7 linked regions of the Nothobranchius furzeri genome follow. The protein of the gene in region 2 purifies or fractionates together with the protein of the main gene of each other region. This does not show direct contact. Links are inferred from orthologs where the notes say so. Each region holds a gene or a part of one and is shown on either strand. Other genes may lie near its edges. The genes, in order: dcaf11, cops6, ddb2, torsin-1A-interacting protein 2, BTB/POZ domain-containing protein 2, klhl18 and fbxo7.

Evidence for each region.
Region 1: the proteins of cops6 (region 2) and dcaf11 purify together in Homo sapiens (affinity purification with mass spectrometry; 6 studies listed by BioGRID and IntAct, counting the BioPlex papers as one, with this or other methods). This does not show direct contact. The link is inferred for Nothobranchius furzeri from reciprocal best matches to the Homo sapiens genes COPS6 and DCAF11.
Region 3: the proteins of cops6 (region 2) and ddb2 purify together in Homo sapiens (affinity purification with mass spectrometry; 8 studies listed by BioGRID and IntAct, counting the BioPlex papers as one, with this or other methods). This does not show direct contact. The link is inferred for Nothobranchius furzeri from reciprocal best matches to the Homo sapiens genes COPS6 and DDB2.
Region 4: the proteins of cops6 (region 2) and torsin-1A-interacting protein 2 purify together in Homo sapiens (affinity purification with mass spectrometry, with the first as the bait; 3 studies listed by BioGRID). This does not show direct contact. The link is inferred for Nothobranchius furzeri from reciprocal best matches to the Homo sapiens genes COPS6 and TOR1AIP2.
Region 5: the proteins of cops6 (region 2) and BTB/POZ domain-containing protein 2 purify together in Homo sapiens (affinity purification with mass spectrometry; 4 studies listed by BioGRID and IntAct, counting the BioPlex papers as one, with this or other methods). This does not show direct contact. The link is inferred for Nothobranchius furzeri from reciprocal best matches to the Homo sapiens genes COPS6 and BTBD2.
Region 6: the proteins of cops6 (region 2) and klhl18 purify together in Homo sapiens (affinity purification with mass spectrometry; 3 studies listed by BioGRID and IntAct, with this or other methods). This does not show direct contact. The link is inferred for Nothobranchius furzeri from reciprocal best matches to the Homo sapiens genes COPS6 and KLHL18.
Region 7: the proteins of cops6 (region 2) and fbxo7 purify together in Homo sapiens (affinity purification with mass spectrometry; 4 studies listed by BioGRID and IntAct, counting the BioPlex papers as one, with this or other methods). This does not show direct contact. The link is inferred for Nothobranchius furzeri from reciprocal best matches to the Homo sapiens genes COPS6 and FBXO7.

The regions. Positions count from the first base shown.
Region 1 is NC_091747.1:42,049,976-42,053,001, reverse strand, and holds the end of dcaf11 (DDB1- and CUL4-associated factor 11), read right to left. Parts: intron 2,805-3,026; coding exon 2,750-2,804; intron 2,583-2,749; coding exon 2,514-2,582; intron 2,345-2,513; coding exon 2,287-2,344; intron 2,063-2,286; coding exon 1,877-2,062; intron 1,793-1,876; coding exon 1,639-1,792; intron 1,565-1,638; coding exon 1,412-1,564; intron 1,263-1,411; coding exon 1,156-1,262; intron 918-1,155; coding exon 840-917; 3' UTR 612-839; downstream 1-611. UniProt on the Homo sapiens protein: May function as a substrate receptor for CUL4-DDB1 E3 ubiquitin-protein ligase complex.
Region 2 is NC_091741.1:79,987,571-79,991,703, forward strand, and holds the start of cops6 (COP9 signalosome complex subunit 6), read right to left. Parts: upstream 2,801-4,133; 5' UTR 2,717-2,800; coding exon of another isoform or gene 2,616-2,716; exon of another isoform or gene 2,313-2,615; intron 2,237-2,312; 5' UTR 2,207-2,236; coding exon 2,164-2,206; intron 1,087-2,163; coding exon 961-1,086; intron 793-960; coding exon 661-792; intron 497-660; coding exon 408-496; intron 1-407. Other genes in the region: F-box/LRR-repeat protein 12, read left to right, coding at 2,616-2,716, 2,853-2,928, 3,432-4,133. UniProt on the Homo sapiens protein: Component of the COP9 signalosome complex (CSN), a complex involved in various cellular and developmental processes.
Region 3 is NC_091744.1:65,533,878-65,538,219, reverse strand, and holds the start of ddb2 (DNA damage-binding protein 2), read left to right. Parts: upstream 1-1,261; 5' UTR 1,262-1,394; exon of another isoform or gene 1,395-1,495; 5' UTR 1,496-1,497; coding exon 1,498-1,630; intron 1,631-1,727; coding exon 1,728-1,840; intron 1,841-2,355; coding exon 2,356-2,547; intron 2,548-2,634; coding exon 2,635-2,831; intron 2,832-2,971; coding exon of another isoform or gene 2,972-3,138; intron 3,139-3,434; coding exon 3,435-3,534; intron 3,535-4,342.
Region 4 is NC_091748.1:54,201,191-54,204,501, forward strand, and holds the end of torsin-1A-interacting protein 2, read left to right. Parts: intron 1-1,448; coding exon 1,449-2,215; 3' UTR 2,216-2,729; downstream 2,730-3,311. Other genes in the region: olfml2ba (olfactomedin-like 2Ba), read left to right, coding at 3,156-3,311. UniProt on the Homo sapiens protein: Required for endoplasmic reticulum integrity. Regulates the distribution of TOR1A between the endoplasmic reticulum and the nuclear envelope as well as induces TOR1A, TOR1B and TOR3A ATPase activity.
Region 5 is NC_091751.1:57,998,373-58,003,021, forward strand, and holds the start of BTB/POZ domain-containing protein 2, read right to left. Parts: upstream 3,104-4,649; 5' UTR 3,101-3,103; coding exon 2,526-3,100; intron 2,453-2,525; coding exon 2,333-2,452; intron 2,260-2,332; coding exon 2,103-2,259; intron 1,991-2,102; coding exon 1,885-1,990; intron 1,804-1,884; coding exon 1,606-1,803; intron 1,509-1,605; coding exon 1,316-1,508; intron 990-1,315; coding exon 902-989; intron 813-901; coding exon 666-812; intron 591-665; coding exon 429-590; 3' UTR 1-428.
Region 6 is NC_091751.1:33,737,991-33,742,356, forward strand, and holds the start of klhl18 (kelch-like protein 18), read left to right. Parts: upstream 1-1,391; 5' UTR 1,392-1,759; coding exon 1,760-1,888; intron 1,889-3,485; coding exon 3,486-3,616; intron 3,617-4,366. Other genes in the region: poly(U)-binding-splicing factor PUF60a, read left to right, coding at 1-146, 256-555. UniProt on the Homo sapiens protein: Substrate-specific adapter of a BCR (BTB-CUL3-RBX1) E3 ubiquitin-protein ligase complex required for mitotic progression and cytokinesis.
Region 7 is NC_091741.1:31,396,280-31,400,715, reverse strand, and holds the start of fbxo7 (F-box only protein 7), read left to right. Parts: upstream 1-1,330; 5' UTR 1,331-2,447; coding exon 2,448-2,541; intron 2,542-2,579; exon of another isoform or gene 2,580-2,780; intron 2,781-2,974; coding exon 2,975-3,101; intron 3,102-3,200; coding exon 3,201-3,396; intron 3,397-4,436. UniProt on the Homo sapiens protein: Substrate recognition component of a SCF (SKP1-CUL1-F-box protein) E3 ubiquitin-protein ligase complex which mediates the ubiquitination and subsequent proteasomal degradation of target proteins and plays a role in several biological processes such as cell cycle, cell proliferation, or maintenance of chromosome stability.

The sequences.
Region 1 (3,026 bases), on a different chromosome or scaffold from region 2:
ACAAATAGAAATGTGTAAAATAGGACAGGTTTTTATGACAGCAGGCGGCTTTTAGGCTGAGACTGGAGCAGTGTTGAATAAAATGCAGCAGGGACACATTTAGAGTTTTTATATATATTTTATTGTAACTGTAAAACAGCAGTATCTCATTTTCAAACAGCAGTTTGAAAGTGAACACCTGACAATTGCATATTACAGATCAGAGTGAATGTTTGGACCATGTGCTCGTCCCTGGTTCTGATTGAACACCACATCACACACATCTTTTAAACGTGTCACGGCCTACACCGGCCAACAGAACCACCCTTTAAGAACAAAAACAGAAAGAACTGAGGGTTCTGGTGCTCATTTAAATGATGCTCCCTACTGGGAAACAGCCAATCAGGTTGAAGTGTAGGGTTTCTGACTTAAATTCTAACAGCAGAGTCTAGCTGACAGCTACCTACACACTCTCCCTGAATAGACTTACCATTAAAATACTATACATGTATACAGAATCACCACCACCCACCTTAATCTCATTAGCTTACATCCTAGCATCCGACTGCAGGAGTTCCCGCTCTTATGGCTGAGGGAACAGTTTCAGACCGGGTCAGAATAAAAACACAACACCGGTCTGTTTATTCTGCAGAACACAGAGAGGCAGTTAAAAAAAGAAAAGCACAAAAGAAATACAGGGATCATTCGCCTTAATGCCCGTCTGAAGGAAAACCTGTGATCCAGCGTGATTTTAAAAGATATTAAAGTCTCTCACAGCCTGACCGAGCTAACACACACCCGCCAGGATGTCTCCTCTACTCCTCCATCTCTGCTCCTCCCTGGCTGTCCTCCTCCACGCGTCAGTCCTTGTCCCTCTCACGCTCCTCCTCCAGAGGATGGGTTTGTCTGTGCTCCCACATCCGCACCGCTCCGTCCCACTGTGGACACAAAATCTTCACGTTTTAGTCTTGTTTGATCATTTGCAGGATAAGATGGTTAATGATGTCACTGAGATCATTAACGTATTATTTAAAAATGTTCCTTAATGATCATTATTCAGATATTAAATTCTTAAATCTGTTGTTTCATTAGATTACAGGCTGCCTTTTTGATTGACACTTGGAAAAAACTCACTTCAGATTAAATTTAAGTTTCCCTGAAGGCGTTTTAACTCACAGAGCTGCTGATGATCTTGTCCTCGTACGGGTGCCAGCTGACATCCCTCACGCACGCGTCATGACCCGACAGCCTAGATACCACCACGCCAGTCAGCACATCGTAGACTAGACACACACACACACACACACACACACACACACGTTTAGAGCACTTCAGTCTTTTAACGAGAAGCACGTCCTGTCATCTCACAAAGGGTTTTACACACACACACACACACACACACACACAAACACGCACGCACGCAGAGACTCACTGATGATCTTGCCGGTGGAGCAGCCGGAGTAGATGTATCTCTGTCCAGTGCTGAACTCTGGAGAGAAGCGGCAGCGAATGAGCGTGTGCAGAACGCCGTGACCGCGGTAGGTCATCACTGAGGTGTCGCCTGTCAGCTTGTGTCTCTTTAGAGCTGAAACCCAAACACGAATAAATATAATAAATGACCCGTTCTCCTCCCCATCTGGTTCTCCTCCCTCTCCTCACCTCTCTGGGGAACCTGCTGCCAGCGGTAATCCCAGTTCTGTTGCGTGACGGCTAGGCGGGAGGCCGCCAGACCCTCTTTGGGAGAGAACTTCCTGATGTCCCAGAGCTTGATGGACTGGTCCTTTGAGTTGCTGATTAAATAGCGGGCATCACCCTGAGACAAGAACAAGACGCTAGCACTGTTAACTCGACCAGTCGTCCACCTCCTCCTGACTAGTTCAGGAACTTTCCCACCCACCTTGCTGTGGATGAAGGTGATGCCGTCTCTGTGTCCGGCCAGCTGTCCAACGGCCTGCGGTCTGTCTTCCCGCAGAGACCGTCTGTCCCACACCTTACACACAGCGTCGTCACTGCCAGAGAAGAGCAGCTGGGACGAGCTGTCGGCAAACGCTACAGCGTTCACGTCATCCTCGTGGGCATCAATCTGACAAGGAAACAGAAAGTGTGTGTGTGTGTGTGTAACCAGTGAAAAACAGCAATGGAGCAGATTACGCTAAACTGCTGGATGATTTCAAATGTACATCAGCCCACATATTTATAGCCAGCCACCAGAACAGACTGACCTTTGACCTCTCACAGGTGTGTGTGTGTGTGTGTGTGTGTGTGTGTGTGTGTGTAGGAGAAACCATGACAACCAGCCACACTCACCTTCAGTGTTCGTTTATTCTGCTCAAGATCAAAAACATAAAGGCAGCCGTCGTTTGCCCTGAAAAGCCACCACAGGAGAGATGGGTTACATTTCAGGTGTGTAATCTGATTACTCCTCACAGGTATGAAAAGTGTGTTCCCTCACTCAGAAGAACGAGTGGAACGATACGTCTAAACGTCCAAACCAGCTTAGTCCTGATTTGAGATGTAAAAGCAAAAGTCCTCACCCGCCCAGAATCTCTTTTCCATCTGTTGATGCAGCCAGAGAGAACACGCAGAACCTCCTCTCATCTGGACTACACACACACACACACACACACACACACACACAGTGAGAGGATGAATGATGGCATGACAGCATCATTCATTCATCCATCCAGGTGGTAATGAGGGGAGAGGAAGGCCAGCTGCTGGGTGACTGATCATCTGCTCTGGTCTGCGTTACTACGGAGGAAACACTCACTTGAGGTCCAGGGCGGTGTGGTTTTCACCGTCTCCATCTATGCTGCACAGATGAACTGTAGAGAGGACACAGACAGACAATCACATCTCCTTCGGTTATTCAACAACATCCTGTTAATCTAAAAGAGAGCTTTGGTCTGAATTTTGTGAAGCCAACAAGGAATGGCAGTTCTCCCCTCATCCACTAGGGGCTGGCACCAGAAGTGAGCAAATCCTCATTGACTCCCATGTTAAAAATGCCAACTTCGCATCAGAATTAAACATGTTTACAGCCTGGT
Region 2 (4,133 bases):
CTACTCTTTTTAGTCTATTATCCATTGCACTGCTCCGACTCTACCCTTGGGAATTACTCTTAGCATTTATTTCTTGTTGTTTGTATTGCTTGCTTGTTATATTTTGTCTTGTACAGTGACCTTGAGAGCTTTGAAAGGCGCTTGAAATAAAATGTATTATTATTATTATTGAAATGTTTACAGTGTGGGCTTGAGAGACAACTCATGTCATGATTTTTTGCTATATAGATAAACTGAATAGAACTGAACATAACTCAAGCCACAATTTGAAGGATTTTAAGACAATTTTTGGAAAAAATAAAGTTTCACACTGCTGAACGAGGTCATGTTTGCTTTTATGGTCATTTTTTAACTTTGTCTTTTATCTCCTTCCAGCTAAGATCACACGGACGTCAGAGTGTTTCTACCTGTTTGTGAATGTGGATGTCTGACTGGTCGGGGGGGCCACCTGTGGTGTACCAGCCCAAAAACTCCATTTCTTTGAAGACCTGTTTAACTGAAAGACAAAATGAAAGTTAACAATCATTTTGAAAAAAAAAAAAAGAAGAGGAACTTGATTTACAAAGTTTAAAACTGAACACATTTCATTATTGTCTTATTAAAATCACCCCATAAGAACACTTTACACCTGTCAAACGTGTTATGTTTAAACATGCTTACACTGTTCCTCCTTGGTGTAGTAGTACTCCTTGTCAATGTGCACTTTGTCATCTATGGTGTGAGACATAAGTTCAAAGGAGTTCATCACCTCGATGTTTCTACCCTCCTGTTTTCCGATCAGAGCCCCGATCACTGAAAGGAGAACACATGATGAACAACACTTATTATTATGGCATTAAACGTTACTGCATTTTAATTACAGAGAATCTAAGTCAAAGCTTTGATAACTGCAGGGTTTGTTTCTCCCTGGAAGCAGTTTTTTTTTCTTTAAGAACAAACAGGTGAGAAAGAGACACATACCCTGCATCGGTCGCCCTTCCTGGGAGCGGATGCGTATCCAGTGGTCTGATATGTTGAGGATGACCAGAGGGTGCAAGGCCACAGAAACGCTCCCGGTGACTCCCGAGGCCATGACACTAGGGCCCACTACAGACACGTGGACACAGATGTAAAATAAGCTTTAACTGGACACCAGCAACATGTAACATAAAGCTCTTTACTCGAAAACAAACAAAAACTGTAAAACAAATGACTGGTTTTGGGAAAAAGGAGGTTGCATTTTAACAAACAGCAAATATTTGAAGTTTTATTATGTATAAAAATAATATTTTAACTCCAATAAGGCAGATCCCAAAGAATCCCTCGTATGTCTCATTTATCAGATAATCAGCTGAAGGATGTCTCCACTAAATCAGAAATTGGACTAATTAAATGTAATGCTCTCAATTCTCCTTTTAAAGAGTTGTCTCTGTGGTATGGCGCTAACTGCTGCAGCACTATGGGTGAATCAGTTTTTTTTAGATGCTGAGAAAGTGTCAATCACATTAACCACAGCAATATCATACCCAGATACCAACCCAGACAAACAACAATAAACAAGCAGATGTTTTTGTTTATATGGCCAATGTTTGATGTATTTATTGAACCAAGAAGATCCCACTGAGATTAACAACCTCTTTTTCAAGGGAGACCTGGCCAAGCTAGGCAGCAGCCAGGATAAATATAACTGGTTAGAGTTAGGTTTGCATCATCACACAGAAATAACAAAGCCGAATTGAAATAAACTTAGTAGTGAAGCCATAGGTGGGCGAAAATAAGGGAAGCAACTGAACTGTAGTTTGTTTTTGCCAAAATGACGTGACAGAGCAATGGAAATCAGGTGTACACAACGTCCCTCGTGTGCTCCTCTAATATGCTGTGCTGTAATTTGAACAGAATACATAAAATAGTATTTTCAAAAAACAATTAGTGTATATAAATTTATATTCACACAAGTCATCCAGACTCCAGTCAAAGAACAGAAAAGGAGCGACGGTAACATCCAGAGTCATGACTACAGACTGAGCAGTGCACGTTAACCCACTTATGTCAGCAGCAGCCTTTAATGACACTAAGTCTTAACTTGGGGTCATTCACACCCAAACTGTACAGCATGTAAGGGAATCGTACATCCATCTATGCTGATGTCAGACTTAAATGGTGAAATAAGAAATAAATACTCGCCTGCCCCATCCACTTCCATTCCTCCACCATCGCTGGTCGCCATCTTGTCCGGTGTGTGAGGCAACAGCGCCTCCTGGAGTCACAATATACCATGGTCACACAATTCGGTGCAACATCTATTCAACGCGCAGGCGCAGGAGGGCTGTTCAGCTAACGAACGTTAGGTGGCAACAAACTGCATTTCAGGCTGTTTCAAAACAAGGTGTGGAGCTCGACCTTTGTCAGAAATTTGTCAAGTGTTATCAAAAGAAAGAAAATATCGACGGAGACACAACTATCCGAAGGAATTTATAATATTGTATGTTCTTTAATCCAACGTCTAGGTCATACAGCATCATACAGTCAACGAGTAGCCGTTTCCTGGGGATTACTGATTTGGGCGCAACCCGTGTGCGTCAGGATATTAGTCCGTGTGGAAGCTTTACGAGTTTTTTTTTTTTTTTTTTAACGAAATGGACGAATTTAAAGCCTGTAATCTGGACTACTTTCCCGAGAACATTTTGATAGATGTTTTGTCATACCTGAGCGTCAAAGAGCTTGTCAGAGCTGGAAGGTAAGACCTGTATTCCAGCTGAAATTTTGCTTGTATGCCAAAAACTCAGCGCCAGGCTTTTTCTTTGTTATGACTCATCCGGTGGTGTAAGTGAGTTTGCTCTGTGTTGCTGCCATTGTTTTCCTCTTTTTTTTAGGGTGTGCAAAAGATGGAAACGCCTTGTTAAAGACCAAAGACTGTGGAAAACTGTCGACTTGACCTCATGGAAGGGGGTAAGAATTGTCAGCACACTGTGTGGCTTTAACGTTTTATTTATCTGATGTTTATTCTTTATGAAAATAATCACAATAAAGTAACACCTGCGAGTTACAAACAATGTTGCATTAGGTTTTAGACATAAAATATCTGTTCCAGTAACACCTGTGTCAGAAGGAAGTTATTTTTAATGTTTTGTCTGAATGACTAAATTATACGCTTTTTCATAAATATGTACAGAAACGGTAAACACAAAGTTTTGCGTTTGTAAAGTCACTTGATGGTTTTAGATGCAACACCAAAGTAAAAGAGGAACTTTCTCATGAATAAAATCAACTTATTTACCCATAATGAACCAGTCAGTGATACGTGTGTATTTTAACCTAAAGAAAAATGTGTTTGTTTGCATAGTTATTAACAGTTATTTTCTCCTTTTCCCCATCACACACACACACACACACACACACACACACACACACACACACACACACACACACACACACACTATCCACTGTGTCAGGTGACATCCCGCATCCTTTGGGTCCTGCTGCGTCAGTACCTTGGTTGTGGACTAAGATGCCTTCGCTTGCGAGGTTTGCTGCTGTCAGCCCGAGGCGGCACCTTTCTCTCTGAGTCTTGGCTCAAAGCTTTGTCCACAAGATGTCCCCGTCTGAGTAAGCTCTACCTTCTGCATACAGACCTGAGAAGTCTACCTAACTGCCTGGTTTTCCCTCGAACTTTGAGAGTGCTGGAGCTGCGTGGTTGTGAGTTGCCTCGGGGTTTTTTCAACCAAAGCTCTTCTAATTCAGCCACTCATCCCCCTGGCAAAGCAGAAGCCACTTCTAGTGCTCCTCATCAAGGAAGGGATCAGAAAGGAACAGGGCTTGGCTCTCCTCTGGGAGTTTGTATTGAGAAGTTAATCCTCAACAATGTGCCCTCTTTCACAGACCAGCATCTGCAGAGTCTAACATCGTGGCAGAGGCTAAGTCAACTGGAGTTGCGTGACACTTTTCGTATAACAGCTAATGGGCTTCGAAATTGTGCAGCCAAGGATGGTCTCTCGGGGGTAGAAGGGCTCTCACGGCTGAAATTTCTTGAAATAGGAATTACGGGACGACAAGGATACCAGTTACAGATGGCCTCCCTTGGACTAGGGGCAGGGTGGATTGGACTGGAGGAGCTGAGTCTTGGTGGTAAGGAGGTGGGGCCGGGTTTGCTCTGT
Region 3 (4,342 bases), on a different chromosome or scaffold from region 2:
GCTCATAGACATTATCACGTGTTTTTGATTACCCCTCCTCTTTCTTTGATAAACCTTTGTTGAGAAATCATATTAGAACAAGGCGAGTTTCATAAAAGATAATTAGAACGGAAAAAGTAACACAAACGACAGTCTATGAAAAAAATAAAAACAGCCAGCATAAACAGGAAGTAATGCCATTTTAAATATTACTTTTAATTCTTAAATACAATTATTGACTTATTAGTAATTAGTTTTTTTTATTGTTTCAATGAAATAACGCTTTCTGGAATCAATTATTTCACTTAAAATGTGGAAAATGGAAATGATTTAAGAAAACAGCACTTACTAATTAAAAATTGAGTCAAAAGGATTACATTGTTACCACGGTTTGATTCTTCATGTCCTGTCAGACAACAATCCTTTATCAGATCAAAAGTTGAAAGCTGAATAGATTCTCACACAACAAGAACTTTTGAAAATCTTTCCAAGAAACATTTTTGACATTGCAAAGAAAAAAGGTGTTCTACTATTTTGATATCTGGGTGAACTGATATTTATGTTGACTTGCTTTTGCAGAAAGTCGTTACAAGGGATAACTGCATACATATTTTTAAACTGAATTATTTTATTTCCTGTGAGAAAAAGAGAAAGATATCTGGATCAGATTTTCTCAAAGGAAATGTCATCATAATTTTAGAATGTTTTCTCCTCAGGGTTAATGGACATTGAAGCCAGAGTGGCCTAATTCTTATGAATTTATTGTAACATTTTTTGTATACAAAGTCATTTTGTTTATAAATATAAACATTGGTTTATATTTATATTTGTTATAAATATAAATGAGTTGGTTATTTTGGAGTAACTGCATGTATTTTCACATATTTAATTATTACAATTACAGCTAGATGAATTGCCACACTAGGTTTAGAACATTTTAATGTATATTTTCAATCAATGCTTCTGAATATTTTAATAACAAATAAATAAATGTGGCCTGAAACATGCACAACCTATTTTATCTGTGCTTATGTTTGTCAAATTGGCATAAAATAATTTTATTACAAGCCTTAAAACCTGTGATAGTGTCATTAAAATAAATCTACGATACACAAATGAATCATTAGTACAGCTAGAGCAGAAACTATATTTAAGAATGTAACATTAAATAAACACAATACAAAAGAACATTTTCGATAACTTAAGGTGACGTCACTTTGTAGTCCAACGACGACGACTCTAAACATGGCTAACGATCGTGATGTGTTTTATCCACAGTGCCACCTGCAGCCATCCAGTGGTAACGCACCCATCTTACAAAACATTTGCAGCCATTATAGTCACGTTTACAGCTGCTTATGCAAACGCCGAAGTTCCTGGTGCTGGCCTCTCTTGTAGCGTTCACCAGCGACCAGGTAAGCGGCAGCAATGAAAACTGTTTAGGCAAATCGAGGATTCGTTGTCGAGGCGATTCGTGTCTTTCATACTGTGTTGTACGCTCGATTCAACGAGGAAGACATGAAAAACAAGCCCGCCAACAAGTCGGACGCATGCGAATCAAAAAGTAAGAAGAAACGAGCTGCAAAAGACTCTGATCCAGCTGTTTGTAAAACACCACGAGACAGAAAGGATGGAGAAACATCTGATCCAGGTGTGCAGCTCTGATGATGGGACAGCTTCATTTCATTCACGCTGTCTGTACCTGAAATGTTCTGGCTTTGACAGACGAATGTGATTATATCTCACAGGGCCTCCTTGTAAGTTTTCAAGAGTCCACAGGAGGAACGGGCACCATGCGAGCATCCTGCATTATATTTACAAAAGCACCCTGGGCCAAAGCCTACACTCTCAGATGAGACAAGTAAGACATGAAGCTCAGCTTGCATCAACTCAGTTCAGGTTGTGTTCATTATGCGTGGTAAACCTCCATTTTATATAGTTTTTATGTTATTTTAGAGTGTTAAATCAGTAATTTTGTCCAATAAAACAAATATCTTCATTGAGCAATCATGGAATTTTATTCTCAGAGAGTCGAGCATGAATTGATGTACATGCCCCAAAACCAGGGCACCACCAGGTTTCTCTTTGTTCCTGGGAAGTAAAAAAGTGTATTAAAGCAATAAGAACTATAAGATAATACAATCCAGAGTAAAAATGCTGAGTGCTTCCGGTTCTTCACGCACTCTAAGGTGCATGTGTGACACATCCCCATCCCCGGTGAGGGTCTTGGTTCTTTATCTGCAGAACAGGTTCCTATATTCTGACTGATAATTAATCCAGAAGTGAATCAGAGGAGCACCAGACGTGTTTGAGCATGTATCGGTTTGTCTTGATGGAGAGAGTATGTGGTGAAAAGGTGCTCCTCGTCTCTTGCAGTGTCTCCAGGAGCCCTTCCTTCGCTCCCTGTCCTCCTACCACTTCCACGGCGCCAGCAGTCCGTTCGATCGCAGAATCACCTGTCTGGAGTGGCACCCCACCCATCCCACCACGCTGGCTGCAGCCTCTAAAGGTGGAGACATTTTCTTGTGGGACTTCAACAACCCCACGAGAAAAAGCTTTATTCAAGGGGTGAGTGTGTGCGTCGGATTGGTTTTCACCCCCATTCAGCACTGCAGCAGCTTTGGGGCTTATTAGATTGTTACGGGTGATTTCCAGGTTGTGTATGTCAGACGAGCACGAAGACACTGTTGTTGGTTTTCTGCTCAGATGGGGCCTGGAGACTCAGTTACAGACATGAAGTTTAACCAGTTAAACCCCTCTCAGCTGTTCACCTCATCCATGGGGGGTACGACAGCCCTGCGAGAGTTCAGTGGGACGACACTTACAGTTTTTGCCAGAACAGATGCACTGAAGTAAGACTTTAGAGCTCCTTATGTCTGTAAAGGTCAGAGGTCAGGCCTGTTCAGTCTAGCATCAGTCTTCTCGTCCGGTTGCCTCAGACTGAAGTGGTGGCTTCCACTTTACTGGCTTGGATCTGTGTGTGTGTGGACAGAATGGAGCGGGAGACTCTCTGGGAGGGATGAAGTTCTGTCCCATGGACTCGTCCAAGGTCTACGTGGCTTCTGGAGAGGGAACGCTGACCCTAAAGAGCTTTGAGGGGCACAAACCCACTTTGCTGTCCAGAACTCAGGACTGTGCTCACGAGCACCACAATGTCTGGTGAGAAAACCGCATAGAAGACTGATGCTAGGCAGACTCGTTTCGTCGCTTTTCTTCAAATTGGTAAAGAAGAAAATCGTTCAAAGCTAATCTGATTTAAACATCTTATTATAAAAGACATTTAGTTCACATTTGTTGTTGTAGATGTTTACAGATGTGATTGAGTGATGTTCAGGACTTAATGTCTTTAGCGTCATAGTTGAATATCTAAACGTTTCTTTATTAAAAGGTTATTTTAGAGCTTTTTGAACACATAATGAATGAAGAAAACTTGACTTGTTCATTGTGTTTCACAGCTTTTGGTACTGCTGTGTTGACGTGTCTGTGAGTCGGCAGATGCTCGTTACCGGTGATAACACAGGGCAGCTCTTACTTGTCGGACTGGATGGTCAAAAGGTAATTTATTTATTTAAATGCAATCTCTACCAATTCTTTATAGATTAGAGGTTTAAGATTTTAAATGTCTGGATTTTATTTATTTTGTCATAACTGCCCCGAAAATGTAAGCGTGGTCTTTAATAATTTTGCTTTAAAAATGAAACGGATCTGCTTGAAAGCAGCAGATAGAGAATCAGCAGATTTGCTAAGGCAGAGGTCATGAACAGTCTTGTTTTAGAGAAGGAAAAAATGCTGGAGCACCATTTCCAGGAACTAGAAGTGAGCCACATCACAGCTGAGTTTCAGACGGCAGGTTTTGAAGTCTTATTTCCTAATATTTGGACATCTCAGCTCTGACTGGCTAACAGTAACATGACAATTGACCCTTTGCACCGATGTCACCTAATCACGTGGGTCCACCATGCTGGACGGCAAAAGCATTTAAACAGTGAGCGACACGATTAGTAAACAAAGGGAAAAGTAGAGCCTGAAATTGTTTTTGCGATCAAAACAAAAACAAAACTCCTCCAGCATTCCTTCAACTAGTTCATGCCCAGTTCAGTTATCAGAAGAAGTAACTCATCTAGCCGGGGCTCACAGAGAGCGGTATGTTAGCTAGCTTACCAGCGTTAGCTTATGTTCTCTCTGTTCACCGATGTAAACATGTTGTTGACTTTGCCTAAATTCACCCCGCTGGATTTATAACTTTGTTATAAACAGCGTTTCACTTTACACCAAAGCTGATTTTTAAAAAGTCCGGATCCCTACCAGCTTCTGTTGCTGGTGGTGTTACCGGGTTCAGCTGCTGCTCTCACACCAGAATGAG
Region 4 (3,311 bases), on a different chromosome or scaffold from region 2:
CCTCTACGGCAACAGTCTTCAGTTCCTGCTTGTTCCTGGGGCATTTTCCCTTCAGCTTTGTCTTCAGCACGTGAAATGCACGCTCAATCGGATTCAGGTCAGGTGACTGACTTGGCCATTGCAAAACAGTCCACTTCTTTCCCTTCAAAATCTCTTTGGTTGCTTTTGCAGTATGCTTTGGGTCATTGTCCATCTGCACTGTGAAGCGCCGTCCAATCAGTTCTGAGGCATTTGGCTGAATATGAGCAGATAATATTACCCGAAACACTTCAGAATCCATCGTGCTGCTTTTGTCAGCAGTCACATCATCAATAAATACAAGAGAACCAGTTCCACTGGCAGCCATACATGCCCACGCCATGACACTTCCAGCACCATGCTTCACTGATGAGGTGGTATGCTTAGGATCATGAGCAGGTCCTTTCCATCTCCAGACTCTTCTCTTCCCATCACTCTGGTACAAGTTGATCTTGGTCTCATCGGTCCGTAGGATGTTGTTCCAGAACTGTGAAGAAGGCTTTTTTAGATGTTGTTTGGAAAACTCTAATCTGGCCTTCCTGTTTTTGGGGGCTCACCAATGGTTTACATCTTGTGGTGAACCCTCTGTTCACACTGGTGGAGTCTTCTCTTGGTTGTTGACTTTGACACAGATACACCTGCCTCCTGGAGAGTGTTCTTGATCTGGCCAACTGTTGTGAAGGGTGTTTTCTTCACCAGGGAAAGGATTCTTCAGTCATCCACCACAGTTGTTTTCTGTGGTCTTCCGGGACTTTTGGTGTTGCTGAGCTCACCGGTGCGTTCCTTCTTTTTGAGAATGTTCCAAACTGTTGTTTTGGCCACGCCTAATATTTTTGCTATCTCTGATAGGTTTCTTTTGTTTTTTCAGCCTAATGATGGCTTGCTTCACTGATAGTGACAGCTCTTTGGATCTCATCTTGACAGTTGACAGCAACAGATTCCAAATGCAAATGGCACACTTGAAATGAACTCTGGATCTTTTATCTGCTCATTGTAATTGGGATAGTGAGGGAATAACACACACCTTGCCATGGAACAGCTGAGAAGCCAATTGTCCCATTACTTTTGGTCCCTTAACAAGCGGGAGGCACATATGCAAACTGTTGTGATTCCTACACCGTTCACCTGATTTGGATGTAAAAACCCTCAAATAAAAGCTGACAGTCTGCAGTTAAAGCACATCTTGTTCGTTTCATTTGATATCCACTGTGGTGGTGAATAGAGCCACAAATGTAAGCACTGTGTCGATGTCCCAATATTTATGGACATGACTGTACTTACTCTCATTTAAAATATTACTAGAAAATCTATATTTTAATTAAGCCAATCAGCCATTTCATTCCAGAAAAATGTGGTATGTTATTACATGATGAACAAGGACAAATTATCTAAAATAATATTAACATTCAGCCTCCTGTCTCTGTCTTTAGGAAGTAAAGGATTTGTGATGGCCATGGTGGTTCTAGTGGTACTTGTTGCCATCTTGATGCAACATTTCTCCCAGCCAAAAACTCCACCTCCCAAAAACAATCAACGGCATATAGACGACTTCCTGAACAAGATGGAAAAATTGATGACTCAGTATCCCAACCAGCGCTCAGAGTTCTGGGACCGGAGCAGGATCCACCTGAAAAGGCACCTCCAGACCTCCCAGCCGACCGAGCCGGTGAGTCTGATTCTGACTGCCGGCCTCGGCGCTGAGAGGACGCTGTGCTGCCTGGCTCATAGTCTGTCCGACGCTTTCTCCTCTGCTATCAACTCCTCCGTCCTCCGCATTGATGGAGCCAGCAAAGCCAGCCAAGACAGTGATCAAGTCAAACTGGACATCGACAACAAGCTCCAGGGAGCTTTTGAGGGAGACAAACACGTGGCTGTCATCCACCGCTTTGAAGAGCTGCCCCCGGGTTCCACGCTCATCTTTTATCGCTACTGCGACCACGAGAACGCTGCTTACAAAAATACTTTTTTGATCTTTACGGTGCTGCTGGGCGAGGAGAAGGACATCCCTGCCGAGACTCACCTGAGCATTGTGGAGGAGATGGTGGACGACCATCTGCAGAAGAAGTTTCTCTCTCACGGCCACCCTGTGTCTTTTGACAGCATGGATCTTGATAAATATGGTGGACTGTGGAGTCGTATCTCACACCTTATTCTGCCTGTAACAGCAGAGGGAAGAATGGAGTGTGATGGGTGCTAAAAGCCACAGAAGGTCTTATTTGAGCTTTAACTCCGAGCAATAATCACTACATATCAGTCAGTAGGGGGAGTCTGCTTATTCTGGGGCTTTTAGTTGTGGTTTAAAAAACATTTTAGTATCTCTCAGCATAAATGAACACATCAATATTCAATAAGACTTATTGTAAAATAACATATTTGTAAAAATGATGAAAAAAAACTATTGGGCACTTTTAAGTCGTTTCAATGGTTTGAAAAATGAAACTGGAATTTGTTTGGATTTTCCAGTTTGCTAATTGTTGGGGACAACTGCCGCTGTTATACAAGTCTTCGTCATTCTTTGGATAAAACACGTTTTTAGTCACCAGAACACAAGGTTTATATGTTAAAAGCACCAGAGACTCCATATGCCTTAACATAACATGAACATGTATATATTTTATCTGCATCTATGTACAGGTTAGACTACAGAAAGAATGAAACCAACTGTATAAATTAAACGTGCCTTAAATTGCAAATAAAATTTTAATTTTTAAGTTTATCCTGTTATTACTAAATCAACCGCTGGAGGGCAGCATCACATCACCTGTACTAGGACACCTGTCTGATGTGATTGAATAAGTCTAATAGCAGGCTGCTAATTGAATATTTAACCCCATTTATGTTAACTTTAAGTGATATCTGGGCGGTTAATGTAGTATTTTGAGTGACTTGGAGATTTTAAACTTGGATTAAGGGCTTGTCCTGGTTGGGTCACTCCTCCTTTCCTGGAGATCAGATCCGCCTCCTATCCGCTCTCCCACAGACACCGGGGCTTTTCTCTCCTGGGTGCACGCTTCTCCACCCTCCACTCATTATGAAACAACATCTCGCTTTGTTGATGCGCTGTTACGATTTTTAAACTTGAATTCTCTTGCATTTAAATTACTGTCAGGCTGCGGTTGCTCTCCGGGACCTCCAGCATGTTTAAGTTATTCCATGTTATCGTGCTGTGCTGTGCGTTTTTCTCTCGGGGGTCTGCTGCACCAAAACCATCCCTAAATGCAGACTGGAGGTCTCAGCCTGACAACGGCGCAGAGCAGAACGAGGAGCTGCAGGAGGAGGTGGAAGGTCAGGAG
Region 5 (4,649 bases), on a different chromosome or scaffold from region 2:
CTGCACACTCAAACGGGGGCGATTCTTCTCTGTACCGATGCTCCCAGGTACAGGGATGAGAAGCACGTAGATTAATTCAGTGTCGAGCCTTATACCGCCAATCTGAAGCAGCGACACAGACCCAGTGAATGACGTCTTTCACCTCTCAATCCCTCGTGGAACTGGTGCGGTAAGTTTGTGCCAGAAGCCGATACAACTAGAACAAAAATGGACATACGGTATGCAAGATGACAGTCTTTGTCCTGTGTAGCAACCTAAATCACCCCCCAATCTATTAGTCCTCCCATGCAGCTAACGGTTGTGCACTAAGTGGAGGGGAACAGTATGAAGTCTGACAGATTAGTCCTCAGTACGGCTGCTGAGGTGTGGCCTCACGCTGGTGTCAAGCCGTCACATTTGATGGAAGATGGTGGTGGTATCTGAGGTGACTATGTGTAGAAGATGACCTCGGGAATCTGTCCGTCCTCTACTGAAGTGCCGTTGTTGTTGCCTGCTGCGTAGCAGAATGTGAAACAGGTCTTTGTGCCAGTGGATGATGACTCATGCGTTACCTTCCGCATCCCTTTGGTCCCATAATGAGAATCTGGACCCTGTGACGCACAGAAAAAAAAAGGATGAACACACACATTCTGGCTCCCTTTAATTAGCTCTCAGGAGTCACACACCTTAAGTGTAGCACAGGCGGTGTAGTTGACGTTAGGTAGAATCTCCACTGGTTCCTTGAACATGACCCTGAAGGTGTTTGCCGAACCGTCGCAGCTGAAGCCCGTGTCGTTCTGCCCCAGCACCGTGTTACTGTCTGTGTGAATTATCTACAACACGTGCAAATGTCACAAACACGATGAAAACACTCCAAATGATCAGAAACAACTTAATACTGGAGCAGTGCTTGGAGTGGTACCTGTATGTTGACTTGGTAGTCTGTAGGTCCGTGTATGGAGCCGTAGAGGCCAAAGCCAACCACAAATATCCGTCTGTTAACAGAGAACCTGTGAAGAAAATTATCAGGAAAGTGTGACAGATGGAATTTAGTATTCAGAACTAGTCGTCTATAATAATCAACTCTTAGATAAAATTCAGTAACAACTAATAAATATCTTATTAAATCATTTGATGTATGTGGTACACTGTTTGAGCTAAAAACACATACAAGTTAAATGTATTGGTAACACAGATAACCCCTGGCCCTTTGTCCCAACCTTAAGATCAATAGTTAACAATATCGGGAATGTAAATGAAGGATTACTTAGTTTATTAATACTTTATAATGCATTAAGTAGTATTAGTAAAAGAGACTAAACTTCGGGATTCTTACCGTATGCGGTCACTCGTTCCGCTGTAGCCCCAGCGACTCTCCACCTGCCCAAATCGGGTGATGCTGCACTCCTTCCCTCGGAGGCAGCAGCGAGGACGGTCGATGAAATCCACACGAGGTTTTGGGTTCACTGTGAAGTGGAGGAAGAGGCTCACCACCTCTCTGTCCGTCAGAATACTGGACTGGGCCGGACCTGAAGGATAGGACCCAAAGACGAAGATTAAATTCAGAATCACAGCATCTATGCATGTCTAAAACAGAGGAAAAACACGTAGCTTGTTCATCCTTACCTGCAGCAAACTCCTCAATGGTCATGAGAGGGAAGCGGATCAGAGTGAGAGCTTTTCCCAGGGCTTTACGCATGTTCTCGGGCGTCGGCTGCAGCTGCTGCCTGCGGGCCTCAGCCTCAGCCCAACGGACAGCCGCTCCAAACAAACGCACCTCTCTGACTCCGAGAGTGTCCCTCTCCAGCACCGCCACCAGCGTATCTAAACAGAAGCAAACAAATCATATTAAAAGTGTAATTCCACAATGTAGAAATGGCATGAATATGTACAGAGGCACTTTACCTAAATCGATGTCCGTGAATCCCTCGGCGGCGAGAGCATCTCCGGTGTTCTTGTCGATGTTTTCCAAACAGAGGCTGGCTAGCTGAGGCTCATCGAACAAACGCGCCTGGAACAGAAATCACAACCTTGCTTTTACTCACAAATTATAAAAATAATAGAACACTCAAACATGAATTGAATAAATAATGATGAAGGAAACTGAGTTGATGGGAGCTGACCTGTGTGAGCAGCATGAAAGCATTGTCTGCTCTCAGGTTCTTCTTAAGGAAATCCACACAGTGAGCCTCCAGGGCTGGAACTGCATACTTCTTAGCTGTATAGAGGGTGGTCATCACAGTCTCAGGCCCAATCTGGACTTCATCAGAGTACAAGAACCTGCAGGAAACCACACAAACTAGGGTTGGTTTGTGGGAATGTAAACTGTTACGCTGGACTGTCTGGTTCTTACTTCAGCAGGGCCAGAAAGGCAGCTGGCTCCACATCTGGAAGCTCAATTTCCGTGGAGGTGGTGGCCATCCCTCCGTTGAACATGGCATCAAACACTGCGCTCCCCACAGCCAGAACAAACCTAAAACAAAGAGAGAGGGGGCTGTCAGATCTTTGTTTAAACGTCAGAGCAGGCTCATGTTGGAGGTAATTACCTGTGAGCTGGTATTCTCTGAACACCCATCCCTTTGCCAACCAAGAAATGAACGTCACTGAGCACCTCGTTGTTAAAGAGAAACGCAAACCTCTCCTTTACGGTGCTCTTTGTTGCCTGCCAGTTGTACACCGGCTCTCGGTAGACCAGCACAGACGCAGCAGCCGGAGTGGAGGTGGGCGCTGTCGCCGGGTTGGCGTTTGACGCAGCGGTGGTCATCATGTTGGACGCCGGGGAGGCCATTGCTCCGGCTGCCGCAGCACCTGCCGCAGCCGCAGCGGGCGACTGCAAAGGGTTCTGCGCAGTCGGCGGAGCTCCGCTCGACACACCGCTGCTGTCTCCCCCGGCAGGCCCCAGCTGCGGGTTGGACCGCCTCGCTGCTCCCTGTGCACCTCCAGCTGCACCGCCTGCTCCTCCGTTGAATGCTGGCATTGAGAAAACGCTGTTGCTGGGCTGGCTGTTTCCCAAAGGACCCGGGCCGGAGAAACTGAGGCAAGGAGGCCTGCCGCTGTTGTCTCCAGCGGACATCTTCAACCTGGCGTAGGCGTCAACAACAAACTTCATCGCTTTCTTCATTTCATGTAGTCTAAAGGGTCACGTCTGCCTTTTGTTTCCCTCTAGCGGCCACGGTGGGTACTACAATCTGCTGTCCTCAATGGGTTAAACTAAAAAACTTATAATTCACTTTTTTCTTTTCTTAAACAACATTAAAAAGTTAAAACATCAGACCAAAAAAATTTTAGGCTGAATTTTAATAAAGCACATATGGAAAAAAAACATCTGATATTTCCCCTTTGAGAATATTCAGCCTCCTTATCAAAATAAAACTTTTAAAAAAATGAACCTCTATTTTGTAGCTAACTGCTAATGGCTCCAATTGTAGCTGGTTGATTTGATCTTGTTGAACACAGATTATTAAAGTAGAGTTGTTGATTTTTAGTAGTTAAGTAGGTTGTAGTGAGGACTTTCTGGCATTATTTAGACCAGTGGTTGTCAATCCTGGTCCTGGAGCACCTGTATCCAGCACGTTTTAGTTGTTTCTCTGCAACAACACTTGATTCAGCGGTTGAATCCCCTGTGCAGCAGCTTATGAAGCTCTGCAGAAGCCTGTTAATTAACTGCTGATTGAAATCAGGTGTATGGGAAAAATGTTAACACTAAAATATGCTGGATACTGGTCCTCCAGGACCAGGATTGGGTACCACTGATTCAGACTTAATTATGCTGTTAACACTAATTTCAAACCTGCAGTCATTTTAAGTGGTATAGTTTATTTTGAAGGAATCCACAGGAAACGCTCTTGAGTTTTCTCGTGATTAGCAATATGAACATTGCCTGTAGAGACAGTTTTGCTCCAGCAGATAGCAGGAAAAATCTTTAATCTCGAAAGCTAGAGGATTGAGTTTATGTTTATGTTTTTACACATAGTACAGTTGTTAACCTATAGGGCATGTTAATGAGTTATTGTGTTTCCATCGAACTGACCTAAATAAAACAAATACATCCCTTATAGACAGAGTGGGCATCAGTCAAACCAAATTTCAGATTGCAAGTAATTACGTTAAAAGTTTATTAGTTAAAGGCATACTATGCAACTTAATATTTTTAAATCATTTTCTTGAGCCAATATGTACTAAAATGACCCTACGGGGTTAATGAAATGTCACCCTCTGTGACCAAAATACCACACATGCAACTTTAGAGTGCCAGTCCGGTCCGGTTGGACTTACTAAAGTGGAGTTGACACACCTGACGTTGCAGTCTGCTTCCAGCATGTTTCCTGCATCTTTTAGTTAGTTTTTTTAGTGAGTTGTTATTTTGTTTGATTTAGTGATTAAATGGTCTGCATTTGTATAACGCCTTCTTAGGGTTCTACAGTCCCCCAAGGTGCTTCACAACACAATCAGTCATCATTCACACACACAGCTTCACATTAACACACTGGTGGGGATGAGCTAAGATGTAGCCACAGCTGACTGAGGCGAGGCAGAGGTGATTAATTGCTCCTGGCTGAGGAGGCATTTCTGCAGTTAGAAAAAGGTGTTCTACAATGTTAGATTCCTGTCTGGTGTTTTAGTATCAATCATGTGACTTGGCTGTTTTTACTCTGAAATATTGTTTTAAT
Region 6 (4,366 bases), on a different chromosome or scaffold from region 2:
CTGAGCAGAAAAAGACAGAGGAGGAGCGTGAGGAGGAGGTGCAGCAAGATGAAGCCATGGAGCCCCTGAGTGAGCAGGAGCATGTGAGCATTAGTGGCAACAGCGCCCGACACATGGTGATGAGGAAACTGCTGCGGAAGCAGGAGGTGGGCGGCGCCTGGACCAGAATCAGCCTCCTGCTGTTTAGTCTAATTTTGCTGTTAAACGTCAGCTGCATCATTGGTCCCTGACCTTTGAACCTGTTGTCCTTTCCAGTCCATTGTCATGGTTCTGAGGAACATGGTCGGGCCAGAAGATATCGACGATGACTTGGAGGGGGAGGTGATGGAGGAGTGTGGAAAGTTTGGGCAGGTGAAGCGAGTCATCATCTACCAGGAGCGCCAGGGTGAGGAGGAGGATGCTGAAATCGTGGTGAAGATCTTTGTTGAATTCTCTGAGGTGGCAGAGATGAACCGAGCCATCCAGGCACTCAACAACCGCTGGTTCGGAGGACGCAAGGTGGTGGCGGAGGTCTACGATCAGGAGCGCTTCGACAGCAGTGACCTGTCAGCGTAGAGCCACCATGAACTTTCACCTTAACGTAGTGGCCTCTTTCTTACTGGGTTGGTTTTTATTGGTCTTGTTTCCATGGAAACACCTTCTTCAGGTTGTCTTTCACGTTTTACCATCACTTCTGCCCTGCTCATCATTCTTCTCACAGCACTGGCCCCTGACACCTCCTGAACCGTCACATGACTTTCTGCTGAACTCACCAGGTCCACCCAGAAGCTGGGTCCAAACAGAACATGGTGGTTTCATGTCACAGCTGATCCAGATGGGACGTCCTCCTGGAGCCCAGGACCAGGTCTGGAGCTAATTCAGGTCTGACTTGTGTAAAATGGTGAGCAGGATGCAGAAGGTTTGAGCGGGTCCACCCTAACCACAGGAACGTTCCTAACCACTCGGCAGTCAAGCAGGATTTCTTTCTGGCAGCAAATTCAAAGCAGAACCCAAACCAGAACTAGAAATAAGTGGATCATCAGGACAGGTGCATTCTGGTGCGGCTTGGCTGTTTCAGGTGAAATGTAAATAAAGATTTTTCAGCTGTTTTTACTCATGGGATGCTGCTGCAGATTGTTTTGAAACATTTTCTAATAAAATGACCCAAGGACCCGCTGATCCGACCCAAGACCATTTGTTGGTTGTGGAGTTCTGATGTCCCAATAGGGTTTGGGTTATTTGATTCAGAACGCTCCTGATCCGGGGACAGCTACAGAGTTCCAGCAGACTGGTTCCCTCAACCGTTTAGATCCATACGCAGTGTTCCTCTGATTCTCAGTGGTCCTGTTTCCATGGAAACTTTCTTCATGTTTGAGAGTTAACTCGTCATTCCAGCAATTGATTGACACGTTTCTGAGCTAATGGGAAGTTCGTGATTTCCTGGGAAACCTTCAGTTCCAGCTTCAGTTTCTGACCTGATCCAAGTCAGACTTCAGGTTCTGGTCTGATTGGGTTTTCCCAGTTCACCAACCCAGAACAGAACCAGTCCAAACCCCGGCCAAAGCTGGTCTGGTAAAGTCATCTGTTTCAAGAATAAATGTTTTAAATGGCTTTAAATTGCAGTTCCAAATCAGGTTCTGTAAAACATTTAAATCCGCTTGGATCAGAACGTTAGACACTTCCGGTCGGACGTTCATATCAGTTTGAAATCAACTTTATTTTGGAGATCACTACAGAAGCGGAAGTTGTTTTATTGTGAAGGGTTGAGTTCCTGCCCACGATGGGAGACGGATTTTGCGAAGAGCTCGAAGATTTGGTTCATTTCTCCGTGCACGACCTGCCCGCGCGAGGTTATGTCGTCATGGAGGAGATCCGACGTCAGGGAAAGCTTTGTGACGTCACGATTAAGGTAAACACTGACGGCGTGGACTCGGTCCGCGACCCAACAGCTTGCTAACAAGTTGCTAACAGGCTAACATCGGTGGTATGACGTTAAATGCGTGACCTGTGACCGGCCGGAAGACGCTCATATGCGAATGTTTTAGACCGATATTAATACTTAGGGGTTATGAAGGTGAAAGGTCAATTTGTGGTCGGCAGCACGCTCAGACAACACCTACTGTTATGATCAATTATCTGCAGCACAGGTGGACTGAAACCGGAAGTGTTAATTTGACCCAACTCGTTAAACGATAAGTGACTTTCAGTCGCAGCGCCTTGAGTCAGCGGACTCTAAAGCGCTTTGCCAGTGAAGGTTCTGGTGGTCCAGCTGGAGAAGAACCCACAAGTCCTCAGGAGGCTCAGTATTGTTTATGGACCCACCAGAACCTCCTAGCAGGGGTTTTCTAAAATAAACAACAGAATCCTGATTTCTTTTGTCTGAATTATTATATTTATATGTCGATGATTATCACTAACATTTCAGACCCTTATCAGTTTTAAACGCTGAACTTAACCAGCTTGTAAAATGGTAAATGGCCTGTATTTGATATAGCACCTTCTAGAGTCCTGGAACCCCCCAAGGCACTTTACAACACAATCAGTCATTAACCCATTCACACACTGGTGGGGATGAGCTACAATGTAGCCACAGCTGCCCTGGGGCGCACTGACAGAGGCGAGGCTGCCGAGCACTGGTGCCACCGGTTCCTCCGACCACCACCAGCAGGCAACTGGGTTAAGTGTTTTGCCCAAGGACACAGCGACAGACTGAGCGGGGCTCGAACCTGCAACCCTCCGATTACGGGGCGAGCACTTAACTCCTGTTCCACCGTCGCCCATGTATGCCAATGGTGCAGTACACATGTGTAATCATTAGTGTGGCAGTCTATCAGTGCCTCTCTCGGTCCGCCAGGCCACGCCTCTTTCAGAAGCGTTTTCCGAACAGGAAGTGTGGATGAAATACGTCTCCACCCATGCCTGGACAAAATATGAAAGTAACCAACTATCAAAGCTGCTACTACAAATTAAACATTTTCTCGTGTCTCTTAACCTTCAAACATAGCATAGCTGTTAATTAATTATGGAGATCAAAAAGTGTGGTTCTCTCGCATTTGTTTAAAAATCTCCACCAATAACGTATTTCACACCGAAACCAACCACTGGACCATCCGGATGTTGGCCTCACCGAACCGCCACCCTTCCCTGGGTCCTCCACTCATCACAAACTCACGTCTTTAGCACCAGAACACCACTGGTGTGAGAGGTTCTCCGCTTAAGCACCAGCCAGCGAGGAGTCCCACCGTCATATCAATCTCTCTCTCTCTCTCTCTCTCTCTCTCTCTCTCTCTCTCTCTCTCTCTCTCTCTCTCTCTCTCCATTTTGTTCCCTGTTCTCTCACTGATACTGCTGTGTGGTCCTCATACACTCAGTCCTCTGCTGCCAGAATGTATGAGGACCTCACACTCAAACACTGAGCAGCTGTCTGCCGCCACGCTGGAGCGGCTGCTATGATTCTGCCACCCAGCTCTGGCCTGGAGGTAACTGTGGGTGTCCTCTCTCTGCAGGTCGGCGATCATAAGTTCAGCGCTCACCGGATTGTCCTGGCTGCCTCCATCCCGTACTTCCATGCCATGTTCACCAATGACATGGTGGAGTGCAAACAGGATGAGATCCTGATGCAAGGCATGGATCCCAGGTAACCATACTAACACATTCCATTGGGGCGACGATCGCCCCGTAATCTGAAGGTTGCTGGTTCAAGCCTCGCTCAGTTGTCGCCATCATTGTGTTCTTGGGCAAGACACTTAACCCGCCTTGCCTGCTGGTGGTGGTCAGCAGGCAAGGCGGGTTGTCGCTCATCCACACCAGAATGTGAATGGGTGTATCAATGGGTGAATGACTGACCTTGTTGTGAAGTGCCTTGGGGGTTCCAGGACTCTAGAATGCACTGTATTAAATACAGACCATTTACCATGTCAAAGAGAGTAAAATGTTATTATCAAGAGAGAGAGAATGTTTAAGTGATTAGCAGCAGTGTGCTAGCCGATGGCCCCCTCCATGAGGCCACCACAGCTCAGCAAAACATCATTGTAGCTTCTTCTGGGGGGGGAAACACTTAGAGAAAAAATAAAGTTAACAGCTGAAATTGCAGGAAATAATACAGTTAAAGAGCAGATTGTAGAAGAAAGCAGTAGAGCGTGGAAAGTGGTCAGTGTATCCTCCAGCAGTCTAAGCCTATAGCAGCATAACTACAGAGATAACTCTGGATAACCTAGCCTTTTAGATGGAGGCATAATGGAGGCAGGGCAAGGGAGAGTCGTCTTTACCGACTGTACACTCCACCTCCCTCTACTCCCCCACTTGTCCAGATCTGGGCTGACATCAGATTTTAACCATAGGCCCTATCAAATAAAAATGTTTTAAGCCTAGTCTATTTTTAGACATA
Region 7 (4,436 bases), about 49 Mb from region 2:
CCTCAGATAAGAATCTTGTGTCTGTTCTAGTCTTGTTAGATCTCAGTGCTGCCTTTGACACAGTTGATCACAATGTTCTTTTAGAAAGACTTGAACATGTTGTAGGGATCAAAGGAACAGCGTTAGGCTGGTTTAAATCCTACCTGTCTGACAGATTTCATTTTGTAAATGTACATGACAAATCTTCTTCATACTCCAGGGTTACTTGTGGAGTACCACAGGGTTCAGTGCTTGGACCAATTCTTTTTACTATATATATGCTCCCAATTGGTAAAATCATTAGACAACATGGGATAAATCTCCACTGTTATGCTGACGATACCCAGTTATATTCATCCATTAACTCTGATGAACCTAATCGGTTGGGTAGATTACAGGCTTGTCTTGAGGACATACAAAATTGGATGACTCAAAACGTTTTGCTTTTAAATCAAGACAAGACGGAAGTTTTCATCTTTGGTCCTGAAATTCAGAAAAGGATTGCTTAGTCAATCACCTGACCTGAATGGCATTACATTAATCTCCGAGAACAAAGTAAGGAACCTTTGTGTTATCTTTGACCGGGACATGTCATTCAAATCCCACCTTAAGCAGGTTTGTAAGATTTCCTTTTTCCACCTTCGGAATATTGCTAAGATGAGAAGCATACTTTCCAGGAGTGATGCTGAAAAACTAGTTCCTGCATTTATTACATCAAGACTGGATTACTGTAATTCATTACTCTCAGGAAGTCCACAGAATGTAGTTAAAAGTCTTCAGCTTGTCCAAAATGCTGCAGCTGGAGTTCTGATGAGAATTAAAAAGAGAGATCATATCTCTCCTGTCTTAGCTTCCCTACATTGGCTACCTGTTAAATTCAGAATAGATTTTAAGATCCTTCTTCTCACATATAAAGCTCTTAATAATCAAGCTCCATCATACATCAGTGATCTGATTGTTCCATACGTTCCTAACCGAGCACTTCACTCTCAGACTGAAGGTCTACTGGTGGTTCCCAGAATATCTAAAATTATGATGGGAGGCAGATCTTTTAGTTATCAGGCTCCTCTCCTGTGGAACCAGCTCCCAGTCTTAGTCCGTGAGGCAGACACCTTGTCTACTTTTAAGAATAGGCTTAAAACATTTTTTATTTGATAGGGCCTATGGTTAAAATCTGATGTTAGCCTAAATAAGGACAAGTGGGGGAGTAGAGGGAGGTGGAGTGTACAGTCGGTAAAGACGGCTCTCCCTTGCCCTGCCTCCAATATGCCTCATTCTAAAAAGGCTAGGTTATCCAGAGTTATCTCTGTAGTTATGCTGCTATAGGCTTAGACTGCTGGAGGATACAATGACCACTTTCCACACTCACCTACTTTGTTCTACAATCTGCCCTTTAACTGTATTACTTCCTGCTATTTCAGCTGTTAACTTTATTTTCTCTCTAAGTGTTTTTCTCCCCAGAAGAAGCTACAATGATGTTCTGCTGAGCTGTGGTGGCCTCATGGAGGGGGCCATCGTCTAGCACACTGCTGCTAACCACTTAAACATTCTCCCTCTCCTGATAACTTTTTACTCTCTTTGATGTTGGATGTGCTACTACTAGTTTACCCGTTTAATTATAGATCCACTAGGATAAATACAATAAAGTTTATCTCTCACCAAATAGAATATTTACTAAGACATCACAATGTAACCACAGAATCAGAAACTTTTTTCTGATTGGCTTAATGAATTGACCTGTATTGGAATGGTTATTATGTGAAGTACCTTGAGACGACTCTTGTCGCGATTAGGCCCTATATAAATAAACTTGAATTTAATTAAATTAAAAGTTTAAATACATGAGGAGCTGGGACCTTGAGTGATTGGAAGACAAGAGGCAAGTGGGAGCAATTAACATGGACACAGAACTGAACGGAAACTGGGGAGACAAGACAAACTGTGACACATACATTGGTGATCTTAGTCCCTACACCCCCAGCATGTCCATGAGTTCCAGTGACCAAAGCCTACTGGTTGTGGAGCACCAGGCTAAAGACCAAAGGTGACAGATCATCTGCTGCTGTGGCCCCCAGACTCTGAACCTCTCTCCCCCTGAGCCTGAGATCAGTGGACTCAGTGGTCTCCTTTAAACTCACCCGTTAAGGCTTTGGTGGGACCTTCAACACCACCACCTTGTTCTTATTCTGCCTTTCCTGGAATCCACTGATTTCCCTCTTTCCTATAAAATTTCTCTCTCCCTTTCCATTATATATTTAATATAATGTTTACTTTTTTCTTTAATTTTAAACATATTTTTATTCTTTTTTTTTTACTTTTTAAATTTTATTAAATTTTTTTGTGAAGCTCCTCGTGATTTTTATGTTGAGAGGTGCTAAACTGTTCTGGGTCTTATTTTGAAAAGTCGAAGCGGAAATTACGTCTCTTCAGTTTCCGATGTTTCGTTTTCACTGATAGGAGAGAATTTCATGTTCTATTATAATGTGAGCTTTTCTCGGTTTACCTGTGAAGTTCTGGGACTTTCTGAAGATAACCCGCAGGTTTCACTAACTACCCGTCCAGGTTAGTTAGCTAGCTTGTCTCGTGCTACGCAGCAAATACGAAACGTTTGATATGAAAGGAAAACGAAATCGTCATTTTCCAGAAGCGATCGTTTATTTTACAGCACTGTCGTGCGTGCTTATTTCGTTATTATTATTGGAACCGTAATCTAACAGATTTTCATGACACTTCTTTGTTCGTAAGCTTTTTGGATAAACCTGTGAGTCTCTTACATGGTGGAGGTTGGAGTGTGACTAAAGGTGTGGACAGAAGTTGGTGCCATTCCCATGTAAACATTCTGTGCTTTAGGCGCATTTATTCATCTATAAGAACCGATTTTGGTTGGAATCCTGAATCTGAGGTTTAAAGTTCAGTTGCTATAAGTTGAACATGTTTTTTATGTAAGTAGAGGTCATGTGATCTTACGGAAGCCGGTGTGTTTTGTTTATTTCAGACAACATGAAGCTACGGGTCCGGATCAACAAGCAGACCAGCAGGGTGGACTTACCTGGAGAAGAACCCACTCTCACAGAACTCTCAGATGTCATCAAGCAGACACTGCTGACTTCTACTGGACTTGGGTCAGACTTCCGGATGGATCCATTTATTCTCTTTTTCTTGTCTCTTAACCAGCGTGTGTCCCAACGGCTCAATGCTCCGTTTTCTTCATCTCCTTTCAGTCTGAACACAGAATTCAGCTTGTCTCTGAACGGCTCTGAGCTTCTGTTGGACTCTGGTCAGACCCTGTCTTCCTTTGGGATCGTTTCTGGAGATCTGATCTGTGTGCTGCTCCGGCAGCCTCCAGCAGTCGCCGTGACCTCAGGGGAAACCAGCTCCACAGCCCCAATAACTGACGATCAGCAGACCGCCACTCAGGTGAGCTCACAGTGACGCAAAAGTGGGTACGCAGTGTATGCGACACATGGGGCGCCAAAGCAATGATGCAAGAACATTTTAGTCTGACGTTCCTCTGTTTAATAACAGCCGTGTTCTTGTCCATTTGTGTATCTGCTAATTATATCATTAATAAGAGAGAAGCACATCAGTGATTAGGCGCCCCTCCGCTTGTTAACCCCCCACACCAAAACAGCGCTCTGCCACCACACCACTACACTCTGGGGTTGGAGTAGATGGTTTTATACACGAGCCACAGAAGTTGTGCGTTTATTTATTTAAACGTTGTAGAAGCTAGTCGCACTAATGGAGCCCAGCTCTGGTGTCACAATGAGAGCTAACGTGAGCAGCTCCTGTCTAACGGGGACGGCGGGTGGAACCAGGCCCCAACTGGGGAAATTCCCGATGGCCCGGTTGAGTTCAGTGTTGTTGTTTTTTGGGCTGGTGTCACTCTAGATCACCTGCTGCTGATGAGAGGAGCTCTCCTGTCAGGCACTGGTGAGCTGCTGCCAACCCAAACCCAACCAGCTTCTGCTCCTAGGAACACGTTCTAGCTCAGACTGTAGTGACCTGTTATTTATAGTTTATAATTAATGTTAGGTATATTCCACAGCTGATGGAAAATGAGATTAAATAACCTGAACATGTTCTCCCACAGCTCAGCTCTGTTAGAAATGAGCAGATGTCTGCTTCAGCTGGACTACATCAAGTAGAAAAGTGTCCACAGATAACTGATCTTTAAACTTTAATATTGATTTTATTTCATTTCTAAGGTCTGGATGTCTGTGAACTAGGGCTGGGGGTAAACGATTATTTTTAAAACGATTATTCTGACGATTATTTTATCGAATAGTCGACTATTCTAATGATTATTTAGACGATTAATCTAACGATTATTTTTCTATTGCACAATTACTAAAAACCAGAAAATCTCAAATAAATTCCTCAAAAAACTTGATAAATGGTTACTGTAAGAGAATAAACACTACAGGCCTTCCATCTTGTATAACACTGCTTTTATT